2 linked regions of the Caenorhabditis elegans genome follow. The protein of the gene in region 2 interacts with the protein of the main gene of each other region in a pairwise test. Each region holds a gene or a part of one and is shown on either strand. Other genes may lie near its edges.

The links. Proteins that work in one complex are often made in the same cells at the same time.
Region 1: the proteins of lec-1 (region 2) and T07C4.3 interact in a two-hybrid assay, tested with the Caenorhabditis elegans proteins (2 studies listed by BioGRID).

What each region holds. Positions count from the first base shown.
Region 1 is NC_003281.10:10,350,076-10,356,709, reverse strand, and holds T07C4.3 (ANK_REP_REGION domain-containing protein), read right to left. Parts: upstream 4,556-6,634; 5' UTR 4,489-4,555; coding exon 4,472-4,488; intron 4,277-4,471; coding exon 4,165-4,276; intron 4,109-4,164; coding exon 3,951-4,108; intron 3,908-3,950; coding exon 3,759-3,907; intron 3,709-3,758; coding exon 3,506-3,708; intron 3,462-3,505; coding exon 3,172-3,461; intron 3,125-3,171; coding exon 2,635-3,124; intron 2,583-2,634; coding exon 2,445-2,582; intron 2,404-2,444; coding exon 2,065-2,403; intron 2,017-2,064; coding exon 1,957-2,016; 3' UTR 1,593-1,956; downstream 1-1,592. Other genes in the region: umps-1 (Orotidine 5'-phosphate decarboxylase), read left to right, coding at 1-638, 691-742; spp-1 (Saposin B-type domain-containing protein), read left to right, coding at 1,193-1,324, 1,374-1,568.
Region 2 is NC_003280.10:13,195,018-13,201,361, reverse strand, and holds lec-1 (Galectin), read right to left. Parts: upstream 4,417-6,344; 5' UTR 4,254-4,416; coding exon 4,209-4,253; intron 3,329-4,208; coding exon 2,753-3,328; intron 2,121-2,752; coding exon 1,884-2,120; 3' UTR 1,649-1,883; downstream 1-1,648. Other genes in the region: btf-1 (BTAF (TBP-associated factor) homolog), read right to left, coding at 337-531, 585-689, 1,063-1,191. UniProt on the Caenorhabditis elegans protein: Binds galactose.

The sequences.
Region 1 (6,634 bases), on a different chromosome or scaffold from region 2:
GCTGTCGACTACACTACCGTCGAGCAGTGCCTTCAGATGATCGAGCTCGCTGGTCCATTTGTGCTGGCGATCAAGCTTCACGCCGACGCTATCACCGATTTCAACGAGGAATTCACGAGGAAGCTGACGACGATGGCAAATGATATGGACTTTATCATTTTCGAGGATCGGAAGTTTGGCGACACTGGAAACACGAACCTTCTTCAGCTCACTGGAGCCCAGAAAATCGCCAACTGGGCGGATGTTGTGACTGTTCATGCCGTACAAGGAAGTGACAGCATTGCAGGAGTCTTCAGGAAGCTCGCCAAAGATCCGACTTACAGGCTCAGTGGAGTTCTCCTCATCGCGCAGCTCAGCACCAAAGGATCTTTGACTGCGCTGGAAGGATACACCGAGACCGCCGTCAAGATTGCCAACGAGAATCGTGACGTGATTTCTGGATTCATCACTCAGACGAGAGTGTCTGCTTGCTCGGATCTTCTCAATTGGACGCCCGGTGTGAATCTCGACGCGAAATCCGACTCGGCCGGTCAGCAGTGGAGAGGTGTCGACGAGGCGATCGAAGTACAGCAGAACGACATCATCATCGTCGGAAGAGGCGTCACGTCGTCCAGTGAGCCCGTTCAGCAGCTCAAGAGGTTTGTTTTTTTTTTTTTAATTAAATTTTTAAATGTCAATTTTCTCTTTCAGATATCGACAAATCGCCTGGGATGCGCTCACGAGAAGCGACGATAGCATTTGAAAGTTGAAAAATCCGGAGAGCCTATTTGTAAAGAAGAAATGTGAATATTTATCTAATTACGTATTTATTTAACTTTGTTGATTTTGTTCAAGCTTCCCCAGAATTGTTGAAATAAGTAAATTGATTGCCTCCATCTTCCTCAAATTATCAAGAAATCACATGCCCACACCATTTACTTTACTGCTAACCTGATTAATCAATATTTTCTCCGTCAAGGCGAAAAGCTACTCCTCTAAGCGATCTTATCAGTTCGAAAAATCGGCATCTGATGTGTGAACGACCCGGTGTGTATTCTATAATGTCCTTTGATCTTTTCCTCCATGCTGAAAACATCAGAAACGATTCGATTCCTTATCAGTGCCGCCGCGAAGTTGATAAAAGACACGAGCATCACTGCTCCGGGTGCATTTTCGCTTCATTTCTCCAGTTTTTCATCTTAAAATCTACAGAATGACTCGCATTCTTCCGTGTCTTTTCCTTGTCTTGCTCGCCGCTGCTCCACTTCTAGCCAATCCAGCTAACCCACTCAATCTCAAGAAGCATCACGGTGTTTTCTGTGATGTCTGCAAGGCTCTCGTCGAGGTTTGTGCTCCAAATATCTCCAATTTTCCTCGTTATTCACATATTTCAGGGTGGAGAGAAGGTTGGAGATGATGATCTCGATGCATGGCTTGATGTGAACATCGGAACTCTTTGCTGGACTATGCTGTTGCCGTTGCATCACGAGTGTGAGGAAGAGCTGAAGAAGGTCAAGAAGGAGCTGAAAAAGGATATTGAGAACAAGGATTCTCCAGACAAGGCGTGCAAGGATGTTGATTTGTGCTAAGAATAATAAATGTTTCCTTCAAAATCATCAAAATATTCTTTCATTTAACAAAAACAGAAACAACGGCGAAATTGGTTTGTGCGCGTGGAATTTTAGAGTTATAAAAATTAGAACTCGTGTTGGTTCTAGTTGTTGAATGGGGGAAAAGTTCTCAGCTACCCTGAGAACACGTAAACTAGAAAACCACACACGGTAGAAGGGAGGGGGTATAAAATTAGAAATTAGAATATAATTGTCTCGAAACACACACACACATACAAAAGAAAGTTATCTGGATAAAATATAGAGTGTGGTGAGGACTGATAATTTACAGCGGCGATTTAATAGCACCAATTAAGCACTATGACACGTGGATGTGAGGAGTGATTGTGAGATGTGGAGGTGAAGTCTACTGGACAACGCAGCATCCTCGCATGAATCGAACGTGGCGGCGGCGGAGTGCTCCGAGCTGAAAATTTAAAATAAATATACTTTCTTGAGCAATATTTATAATTACCGCTTGAGGGGAAGGTTTCGCCTCCAGTGCCATATGTTGAAGCTCCTCGGTTCTGCTGAGAATCCTGACATCATCGTCGACGCTGTCCACTTTTGCGATTGGCACATGTTGCTTTGACACTATCGCCTGCAGTGCTGCAATGCGATCTTTGATTGTGGGATCCGCACGATTGCCGTCCAGCTCGACGTTGACTACTACAGTCTTAGCCTTCTGCTCTTCTTTTACAGGGGACAACTGCTCGGCACTTTGTGATACTTTCATCGACTTGTCGATCATTGTCATCGGTTCCGCTTCATCTTCACTGCACAATGAGTATGGAACATCTGCGTCACTCTGAAACTAATTTTAATAATTTAATTCAGAAAATCGCATCAGCAAACCTCCACGGAATCTGCTCGTTTTCGGTGATCATCCTTCAATGGAGTCTCAATGACTGTGATGATCTCCGAGGATCCTGGTCCACTGCCATTACTGTCGACTGTTTTGAGCTGGAAACCATCGGTATCTTTGACTCCGAGCTAAAAATTTCAGTATTAAAAAACAAAAACTTGATTATTAAAATATTAGTACCTCTGCAAATAGATCCTCATTCAATTTAGTCTTGGATGCAAAGTACTCTCGATCCAATGAAGACATTGAAGATTGTTCTTTGGCACAGAACGCGTTCTCAGTTTCCTCTTTAACTGGATTAGGAGTAGTGACTTTTTGTCTGGCTTCTTGCTCGGCGACGAATTCGGCCAGCTGCTCCTTCCCGTTCGCAATGATGCTACTGTGAGTAGAAGTGCTTCTGAAGATGACATTTGTCACTTCAGTCTCCGCGTGTTCCTCCTTCTTTGACGCCGAAAACACTTCATCCACTCTAGGCGCGGAGCCTCCAATTTCTTCGAGAACCTGCGCATAAATGGATTTTGGCTTGTGCTCTGCAAAGTTGACGCCGGCATCGAACTTCTCGATGAGATGCTTGATGGGTTTCCCGTTGGCGAGTTCTGCGGACACCATAGTTTTTCTTTCGGCGGGCAACGGCGGCGTCGCGTGCACTTTCGCCTCTTCGGAAGCGTTTCTGAAAAGTAAAAGTGTTGATGGTGGCGGACGATAAGGGAAACTTACTGTGTCATGGAAAGAGTTGCATCCGCATGTGAAACTGATTGAATAACTGCTTCAAAGGCGGCATCAATTGATTCCGTGAGCACTATCGGAGCCACAATCTCTTGAGCCTTGAAAAGCTTCTCAACTTTTGCCTCCTCCACAATAATCACATCAGCAACCATTGCACTGTCGACCTGATCGCTTTCAGCAGCGATTCTCTGATCTTCTTCAAAGACATCGTCTTCCATCTCCATCTTAGAACCGTCAACCTCATCCTTATCCTCAACCGGCGATGAATTTTCCGAGCGAACCTGAAAATTTGAATATACTAAAAATTGGGTATACTTCCACCTACATCCTTCCCAGACACCCATCCTTCGTCATCAGTCATTGAAGACTGTTGTGCCAGAGACCTTTGCGATGGAGAGTTGTCGGACTTGCTTAAATCCGAAGTTGGACCAGCTGCTTTGTCATCGCAGTCTGTTGAGATCGCAATCGGATTCCCACTTGATGGTGATACAGCTTGTGAGTGATCGGATGACGTGTCTTCAGTGATAACTAGAAAAATTAGCTACTAAAATTATTTTTCTGAAACTAGGGGTGCCTACCGTCGGTTTCGACCGATGTGGACATCAATGGAGGGAGATCGTCATCGTAAACTTCCTGTGGATCGGCGATCAGGCGAAACCTGCACATCATACTCCCATCCATCGATGTCATGAACCTTTTGACCTTTGGAAGCTCGAAGATTTCTCGTCTAAAAGTGAAATTAGATTTAAAAAAAACGAAATTCAGTCTACTTGGTCAAGTTCTTCGATGAGAAGATCGCATTGAGCTCTTCGGCGGTGAGTTGACGTTGGGTCTCCTTATGGTAAACCTTTCTCAGATCATGCCATGTGAACTCTTGTCCTTGCTTTCCTAGTCTGGAAACTGCCACGATAAACGTGGTGAAACCATCCTGAAAAATAGAAAATTATTATTTGAAATCGAAATTGATAATCATTAATCACTTACAACGCTTGGCTGGAATTTTCCAGATGCAGTCGACTGTGTGCGATTTTTCTTGCTGCCGACGGAAGCGGTGCTCTTGTTTCGCTTAGCGTGTCTTCCACGACCCATTTGAGTGCTGAAAACCGAAATAAATGAAGAATACATAGTGACCGGGGACAGATGCGAAAGACAGCCGGCGGAGGTACCAGCTCGTTCAAAAAAGTTATTTTTTGGACACAGACATCTGTCATTAGTGACTCACACAATCGAAGCCAATAACGTCGACAGATGCAACAAAAAACCGTGCTCGAGCAGATTTCTCTTCTCTTACCTTTGAGAATCCGTCATTTTCGCTAGTGATTACTTTCCTACTCGCTTTTATTTCGAAGAGATTTCGTAGTGAGTGCACAAACCTGGAATTCGAAACTAAAAAAGTTGAAAAAAATGAATAAAATAAACAAAGGAAGTTAGAAGCAAGCAACGGGAGCACAAAATTGGGGAGTTTAGAGGTATCTGATTTCAAATATACTGAAAGCATAATCTTTGAGGTTTTTCAATTGGGAAACAGGAGACGTTTACACATAGGCGGCGAGCGATCTCCCAAGAAGGCGAGATTTTGTGGTGAAGATAATCCGAAATGTGGAACAGTGTGCGAAAAATGCGGAAAACACGCGCGTTTTTCGGTTGCAAGTTATTCTCAACAGCTGTTACAACAATTTTATGGATTAAAACGCGGGAAATGTTGCGAAAAGTTCAAAAAATTGGAGAATTATGATAAAAATCCACCAAAATTCAAATAATAAAGATAGGCGGCCTAAATGGGTACGCAAACACGCAAACACCGAAGACGCACAGAAAAGGATCTACCGTAGTTGAGTGAAAATTTAATTTTTATTAAAAAATTAAATTAAATTTTATCAGAACTATTTAGTTTTCCATCCGAAAAAGCTATATTTTTATTTTAAAAAGAAATCCGATTGAAAAGTGAAAATTGTCTATTTTCCGGAAATCTCAGCAGCACGCTTGAACTCTCTAAACCCATTGTTAACCGAGGTAGAAGTGGAGACAAATGATTGGAAAAGTTCCTGATCCGTTAAGCAAACAAAACTATGTGTGTTTCTCGTTGAACAAGCATGAACATCGTTACTTTACTAAATACTCTACTGTTTAAATCGTTTTGCGCTGGGATTGCGTGTGAAAATTGGCAGAATTCGAGTGTCACCTGGAACAAAGTTGGGAAATGATGGAAAAGCTGTTGTAGAAAAACTAAAACCGAAACTTAAAATATCCTGTAAAACTATAATATATAAAAATACTTGCTCAATGGGAAAAAATACGGTACCCGGTCTCGACACGCCAATTTTGTGAATTACGAACCGATGTGCGCCTTTAAAGAGTACTGTAATTTCGAACTTTCGTTGCTGCGGAATTTTCATCGATTTTTCATAATTTTTCGTTGAAAATCTTTATTTATTTAAAACTAGAATTTTAAAAAAATTAAAAATCAATAAATTGTAATAACTTGTAATAAAAACTATGAAAAATCGGCGAAAATATAAAAGCAACAAAAGTGTAAAAGTACAGTACACTTTAAAGGTGCACACCCGTTTTTATTTAACAAAAAATTGTCGTGTCGAGATCGGATACCGTATTTTTCACAAAATTTCATGCCTGGGCAATTTTTTTAAAGGGAGTTACGGTAATAAAATAAAACTTGAGTGTTTAAAAAAGCAGAAAGCTGAGGAATTACAGAAAAAAACCAAAAAATTATTATAGCAACTAATTGGACTGAAAAACAATTTTCGAAATTTTCGCGGCGAGACCCAACTTTTTCAAATAACTTTTAAAAATATACAAATTAATTACCAATGCACAAAACACAAAAAAAATTAAAAAGTGTCAAACGTGGCGACGAACTTGTAAAAGAGTGACACATCTCGAAATAACTCGGGCTCCTAGCGCCGTTTGTTCACCCTCTGTGGGGCAAACGTAGACTCAAGTGGTGGTGGTAGAGAAGAAGCTGCTCTTTTAAAACAAATCTCATATATACATGTACTGTTAACCACTGATCGAACATGACCGACACAGTACTTTGTCTCTCTGTGGGGTTATGCAAATTCGCCGCCCGGGCGTACTTCAAACTCGGCTTTGACCATATAAACATAATGATAATCAAGCCGCGCGAGGAGCAAAACTGTAGTGAAATTGTGTGTATGGGAGGCTGTGATGGGAGAGAACAAAAGTGTAAGAGGGGTGATGACACACTGTGTAATTCTCATGCAGAATCTTCCACGTCATCATATTGAGCAGGTCGACTTTGCCGATTTTTCGCAATTTCAAAATTGAAAGAACTATAGTTTTTCACAAGAAAGTCTAGGCCATAACGGAGAAAATTGAAGGAACGGAAAGAAGAAAAACAGTTCAAAAAAGAAATTGCGTGGCCTAGAACGTGTGAAACCTCGGCCCCGCATTTAGTCTTGGTGGCAGAAAGAAC
Region 2 (6,344 bases):
TTATCGATTTGCCGGAAAATTTCAGTTTCGGCATTTCGCCGATTTGCCAGAATTTTTCAATTCCGGCAATTCGGCAATTTTTCTTCGATTTTTTCTAAAAAATTGAAAAAAATGACTTTCTGGGTTCCAAATTCGAATTTTCATGGGTTAGAAACCGAAAACTCAGAAAACCCCAAATTTTTGCAAGAAAAACGTACTAAAATTTTAGCTAAAATCCAAATTTTCTCAAAAAACTTTGTGAAAAATTGAAAAAAAAATTGACTTTTAAGCAAATCTGGGCGCCAGATTCGTTTTTTTTTGGTTTTTTCCCCAGAAAACTGCCGGAAAAATCGATACCGAGCTTATTCCGGTGGCCCGATTGTATTCAAGGTGTTGATCTACAATTTCCCGCTGTTTCTGATTATTTCCTCGATCTTTTTCCGACTTTTTCAGTGCCGACTCATCATCACTTAACAGTGGCTTGAACGATCGTAAAACGTTCATCACAACGATGCTTCTGACATTTTCCGATACCGATGAGTCTTCTTCATTCTGAAAAATCGATTTTTTTAAAGAATTTCATAACTCAAAAAGCTCAGAAAAACCTTCAATCGTTCGAATTCTGGAGCATTCTGAAGTGTCGCCTGCAACGCTTTTCCAGCAGATACTCGTGTCTCCCAGAGTTGAGATGCCGCGTGTTTTTTGAGACTCTGAAATTAAGATTATTTATATATTTAAAGTATTTAAAAAAGATAAACCCCTGAAAAAAGTGAAAAAATCACTGAAAATGAGTGAAAAATCACCGGAAAAAAGCGAGCTTATATGTTTTTTTCACTCGAAATATCGAAAATTAATTATAAAATTCAGTATTTCTGGGGCATTTTGAGTATTTTAAACGAAGACTAACGGTTTTTGAGTCTAAACCGTTAGTACACCTTCAAAATACTCAAAATAACCCAAAAATACTGAATTTTATAATTAATATTCGGCATTTCGAGGGAAAAAAATATATAAACTCGCTTTTCACCCGTGATTTTTTACTTTTTCTTGTGATTTAAAAAAAATATATATTAATTAACCAACATTTTTCACGTCTTCACTTAAAATTGACAATTTCCCGAACGCAGCGGCCGCTTCATTTCGAACATTCGGATTTTTCGCTTCGAGTAGAGGGTCAAGCTGAAGAAGACGAGCCGACGTGTCGGCGCTCATCGGAAACTGAAAATTTTCAATTTTTCCGGCTTATTTGAGAGAAAAAACAGCGAAAAATGCATTTAAATCCAAAAATCCAAAAAAAAATGGGAGACACCACGCATTCCAGGGAACAAAAATCCTGAGGAAAACTTTAGAAACCCGAGTTTATAGCAGGATTATTCAGGATTATTCAAGATTTCGAGCTTCACATTATACATTATAATAATTATTGATTTAACAATAAGAAGAAAACTAAATTTTGTAGGCAAACCTGATGGGAAACACGCGCGGTTTTCACGATTCGACTTCCGTGCAATTTGTAGTGACTCGAGGAAAACGCGCTCTCCTGGACAAAAACGGCGGTACTTTCAAATATAGTTTTTTCGAGTTTTCGCTTACTTTTCGCGTTTTTTTCGCAGAACTTTTCATGATGATCCGCTTTCAAAATATGAAACCTGAAATGACAACGAGAAAATCTGCTATCCAATTTTATTAAAATACAATGTGGGGGGTGAGAAAAGATACAAAAAGAAAAACGCGGGATTACAGTTCAGTTGCCGGTGCGAAATAATAGAGAAATGATTCTTTTTGGGGGGGGGGGGGGGGGAGAGGGGCAGTAGACTTTTGGAAGATTGATCAGTGAGAGAGAGAGAAATGGGAGAGCTGGATAACAGAAGAAAGAGGGGGAACAGGGGATATCAATACATAATTTATTGGATTTGAATTCCAGACAGCTCAATGTCTCCAGAGATCTGAAGCCCGGCAATGTCGTGTGGATCGGCGCGGTGAGCGAACGAGATGTAGCGTTCTCCGTTGACGAACACCTGGAACGCGTACTCCTCGTTTTGGATGACCAAGTCGAAGCCGACTCCCTTCTCGAATGGGTTCTTTCCCTCGCGCTCCTCATTTCCCCATTCGTTGGCGGCAAGAGAGTTGCGGATGACGTGCTGGAAGAAAGGAAATAAAGAATTTGGTCAAATTTCTATTGAAATCGATTTTTTTTTGTCCTTTCACCAATTTTACCAATAGAAATAGACACATGCAAAACTTTTGTGTCTCATAAAATTGTTTGTTGAAGAGCGCCATATTTGCCCAAATGTAGCAAACAAAATGCGGGTCTTTTTGTGTATGTGTGTGTGAGGCACCACAGAAAGGAGAACAGGTGAACAAGGAGAACACAGAAACCACACCCATTTTTCCGTGCCGCAAGTTTTCCGCAAATTTTGAGGCACCACGTTTTCAGGATCTGGGGCACCGTGCCAACTGCGGTTTTTGCAGTTTTCTCTCGCTGAAAAACGAAACAACGATACTCCGATATGACGCGTCGCGTGTTGTTTAGCGTTCAGAATAATGTTTTTTTGAAATAAAAACTTTTGGAAAACGCTAAACAACACGCATAACATCGGAGCATCGTTGTTTCGTTTTTCATCGAGAGAAAACTGCAAAAACCGCAGTTGGTACGGTTCCAGATCCTGAAAATGTGGTGCCTCTCGCGGCACGGAAAAATGGACGTGGTTCCTGTTCTCCTTTGTCGTGGTTCTCCTTTCTGTGGTGCCTCGTGGCATATATCAACCCTTACCTTCTCATCGAAACGTGGGTTGAAGTGGAACGAGATGTCTCCATTCTTGCGGAGAAGGTTGACGTGGAAGCGCTTGGCCTTCTTCTCAACGGTTCCAAAGACGAGGAGGCTCTTTCCGACTGGAAGTCCGTTGGCGAGTCCGCTCTCGTATGGTACTGGGTAGTACTTTCCTCCCCAGTGAACGTGGTTCAAGTAGAGATCTCCGTCAATCGAGAGGTGAGAGATTGAGGAGAGTGGCAGACGGTGCTCGTAGTCCTTGAACTCCTTGTGGTCGACGATGATCTGGAAGCGATCGTCGTGAGCACGGATGCGAATGTCGAACGAGTCTCCCTTCTTGATTGGGTTCGACTTGCGCTCTTCCTTTCCCCATTCTCCATTCGAGAACGAGTTGAGCACAATTTTGCCCTCATCGAAGCGGACAGAGACGTGGAGTGGCACATCGTTTCCGGAGAAATCCGCGGTCTTCGAGTGAAGGTTGATGGTGAAGCGTTGCGACTCGTCGATCGTCGATCCCTTGACGATGAGCGTCTGTCCGGGCTCGAACTTCTCCTGGAGCACTGAGCGGTATGGTACTGGCTGAAAAATTTAAAAATTTTAATTTTTTAAAAAATTAATTGGATTATTACGGGAACACATTTTTCTGATAATGCGTACTGCACAACATATTTGACGCGCAAAATATCTCGTAGCGAAAACTACAGTAACTCCTTAAATGCCTACTGTAGCGCTTGTGAAATGCCGTAAATCGACACACAAGCGCTACAGTAGTCATGTAATGAACAATGAACTACTGTAGTTTTCGCTACGAGATATTTTGCGCGTCAAATATGTCGCGCGATACGCATTCTCAGAATTTTGTGTTTCGGTAATAGATTTATAAGTAGAGTTTTCTAGAACCATTTCTTCTTCCATATGCCATTTTAAAATGTTCAGTAGGGTAATCATGTAGAAATATATGCTGGGGGGGGGGGGGGACCTCGCGTGTCACACACTGGTGAACAGAATAAGCGAGCAAGAAGCGAGACCCGAAAAAGCGGAAGAGCTGTTATCCAATCTGCATCCACCAATCTTCGCGCTCCCCAGACTTTCATACAGCTGACGACGACAAAAAATGCCTTTTCTACATTGTCTAGTTGCTTTCTATTTTTTAGCTCCATTTTGCTCCATTTTGCACAAAATTTTGTTGTGATGTGCCGCCGAGCAAACACACCAGAAATATGGCGGGAATCTCGAATGTTGATAATGGAACCGAAGGTGTGGGCGAGCAGATAACGAGAGGAATGTGTCACTTTAGTGGCAACCAACAAACTTGGAATGCTCTCCATTTTCGAGCTGGTGTCAGAATGTCCCATGTCAGTTTGATCTCCGAAAAGTTGCAGGAGAAAAAATTCCCGCTTTTTTTTGTAGATCAAACATGGGACAGCCTGACACCCCCATGTATAGAGGCATGCTTTACCTTGTTCTGCTCGTACCAGCGAAGGAATTGAGGAGTGGAAGACATTAGTGTAAAGAGTTGAGCTGAGGAAAACTGAAAGCGATCGTTCAGGACGCGAGTCAAACGAAGAACTGACGACCGGTAAACAGTTTCAACAAAAGCTGAGAGTGTGAGAGGAGAGAGAAACCAGACAGTTGAACAGTCATAACATTCGCAAGCGCCGCCCAATATTGAGTCAGAGAGAGCATGGAATTATGGGAGGGTGACAGCATGTGCGCGAGGCGACATTGAAATGTTTCTTTTTGTGCATCTGTCTGTGTCTCCGACTTCTCGTACAGTCTCTCGCATACGACTTCTCGCCATGATTCATCGTGTCGTTGTAGGCGAAGAAAACAGTGAAATTGAAAAAAGGAACGGAACTTTCTGGAGAGGAAGAGATCGATAATGAGTGTTGGTACAGTTTTCAGCTCGAAATTTTTTTTGTATGATTTGTTGAAACTCAAACAACAAAAGTTTTCGGAGCAAAATCCATGCTCAATATTTGCGTCTTCGCATTACTGTTTACCGCATTTCGAGTCTGGGCGTCACGTGCAAACTTCAACTTCAAAGGCTCGAAATGCACTTCAAAAACCAGGGGGTGGGCGGCAAACGATTTTTTTCCGGCAAATCGGCAAATTGCCGGAATTGAAATTTCCGGCAAATCGGAAAATTGCCGGAATTGAAATTTGCGGAAAATCGGAAAATTGCCGGAATTGAAATTTCCGGCAAACCGGCAATTGCCGCCCACCCCTGCTTCAAACGTTGAAAAGGTGTTGCACAACTAGGGCCAAGGCGAGAAAAAATGTGGCATTGATCTTAGGCAGGTTCTCATGGTGTACTAGTGTTTTGTCCAAATTGCCAAATTGCCAAACTGCCATTTGTTGTTCTATATTCGAGAAAAAGGAGGTTACTACTCGTCGGAAGATTTTCAAGAAGGCACAAGACATCGAAGAGAAAGGACATTCATGATGAGACACGGCTTAACATAGAAGACTGCAGAAGCAATTTGAAATTCGAGTGGTAAGCATCTTAAAGATCAACTGGAAATTGTTTCAAGCTGGAAAAAAGAGATTAAAAATGCCTTTTGAGCTTTTGATGGAAACATTTTGGTCTCACTTTAGCTGAAGACGTTTCTAAATTCGAAGCTTTTCAACCTGATTCTGTAGAATTGCTGCAAACTGGACGTTATGCAAAAATCGTTTCTTTAAAATTGTTCACTTAACGATCAATCATCAGTGTCAAGAACTACAATTTCGAAATCAACTATCAACAAATATATTTTTTGCGGCGTCTGATCTTCCTTCTGATTCAACACGTAGTAGTAGTAGTCCAAACATCGGTGGTGAACTATAGAGGTGACACTTACAGAAACGGGCAAATTCTCCAAAAGTTTCTGTCCTTTCTTTTTCATTATTTCTTACGCTTGACTGGGGCCGCCGCCGCACTTTCATCACCCCCGTACTGATACGGTTTTTTTTCTATTCTTTTCTTTTTTGTTGTTGTTACAACACCGTTAGAAACGAAACTCACGTAGGACTTTGGCTCTTCGGCGGACATTTTTTGCTGGTGGTGGCTTTTCGGTGGTTCCTGAAATTAAAATTGAATTTTAAAAACATGATTATTTAGAAGAAGAAGATGAAAAAGCGAGAAAATTTCCGACGACGACGACGACAATGGCAATAAAAGTGTGGTCTCTGGGCGCAATAGAGAGAGAGAGAGAGAAGGGCAGGAGAGACGCAGCATTTCGTAAATAAAGTCCGAGAGACAACAGACGTGTAAACAAGAGACAAAAGAGCACAGAACGTGTGTGAGAGATGCAGGAAAATTTTGTGTGTGTGTGTGAGAAATGACGCTCTCTCTCTCTCTGAAGAAGAAGAAGAAGAAGAAACCATGGTGATAAAATTGTGAGAAAATATGGGAGGGGAGAAGAGATTTGTTTATGATGAGGTGGTGACACATTTATGATTGAATTTGAATACATATTCTTTCTAGGCTTTTATGAGGTACTGTATATAGGCGGTTTATGTCAATATTTGAGCAAGAATTTCAAAATTTTTCTTAAAGGTTCTAAAGTTAATTAGAATTTAAAAAAGTTCAATTTAAAAATTTGTGAGTGGG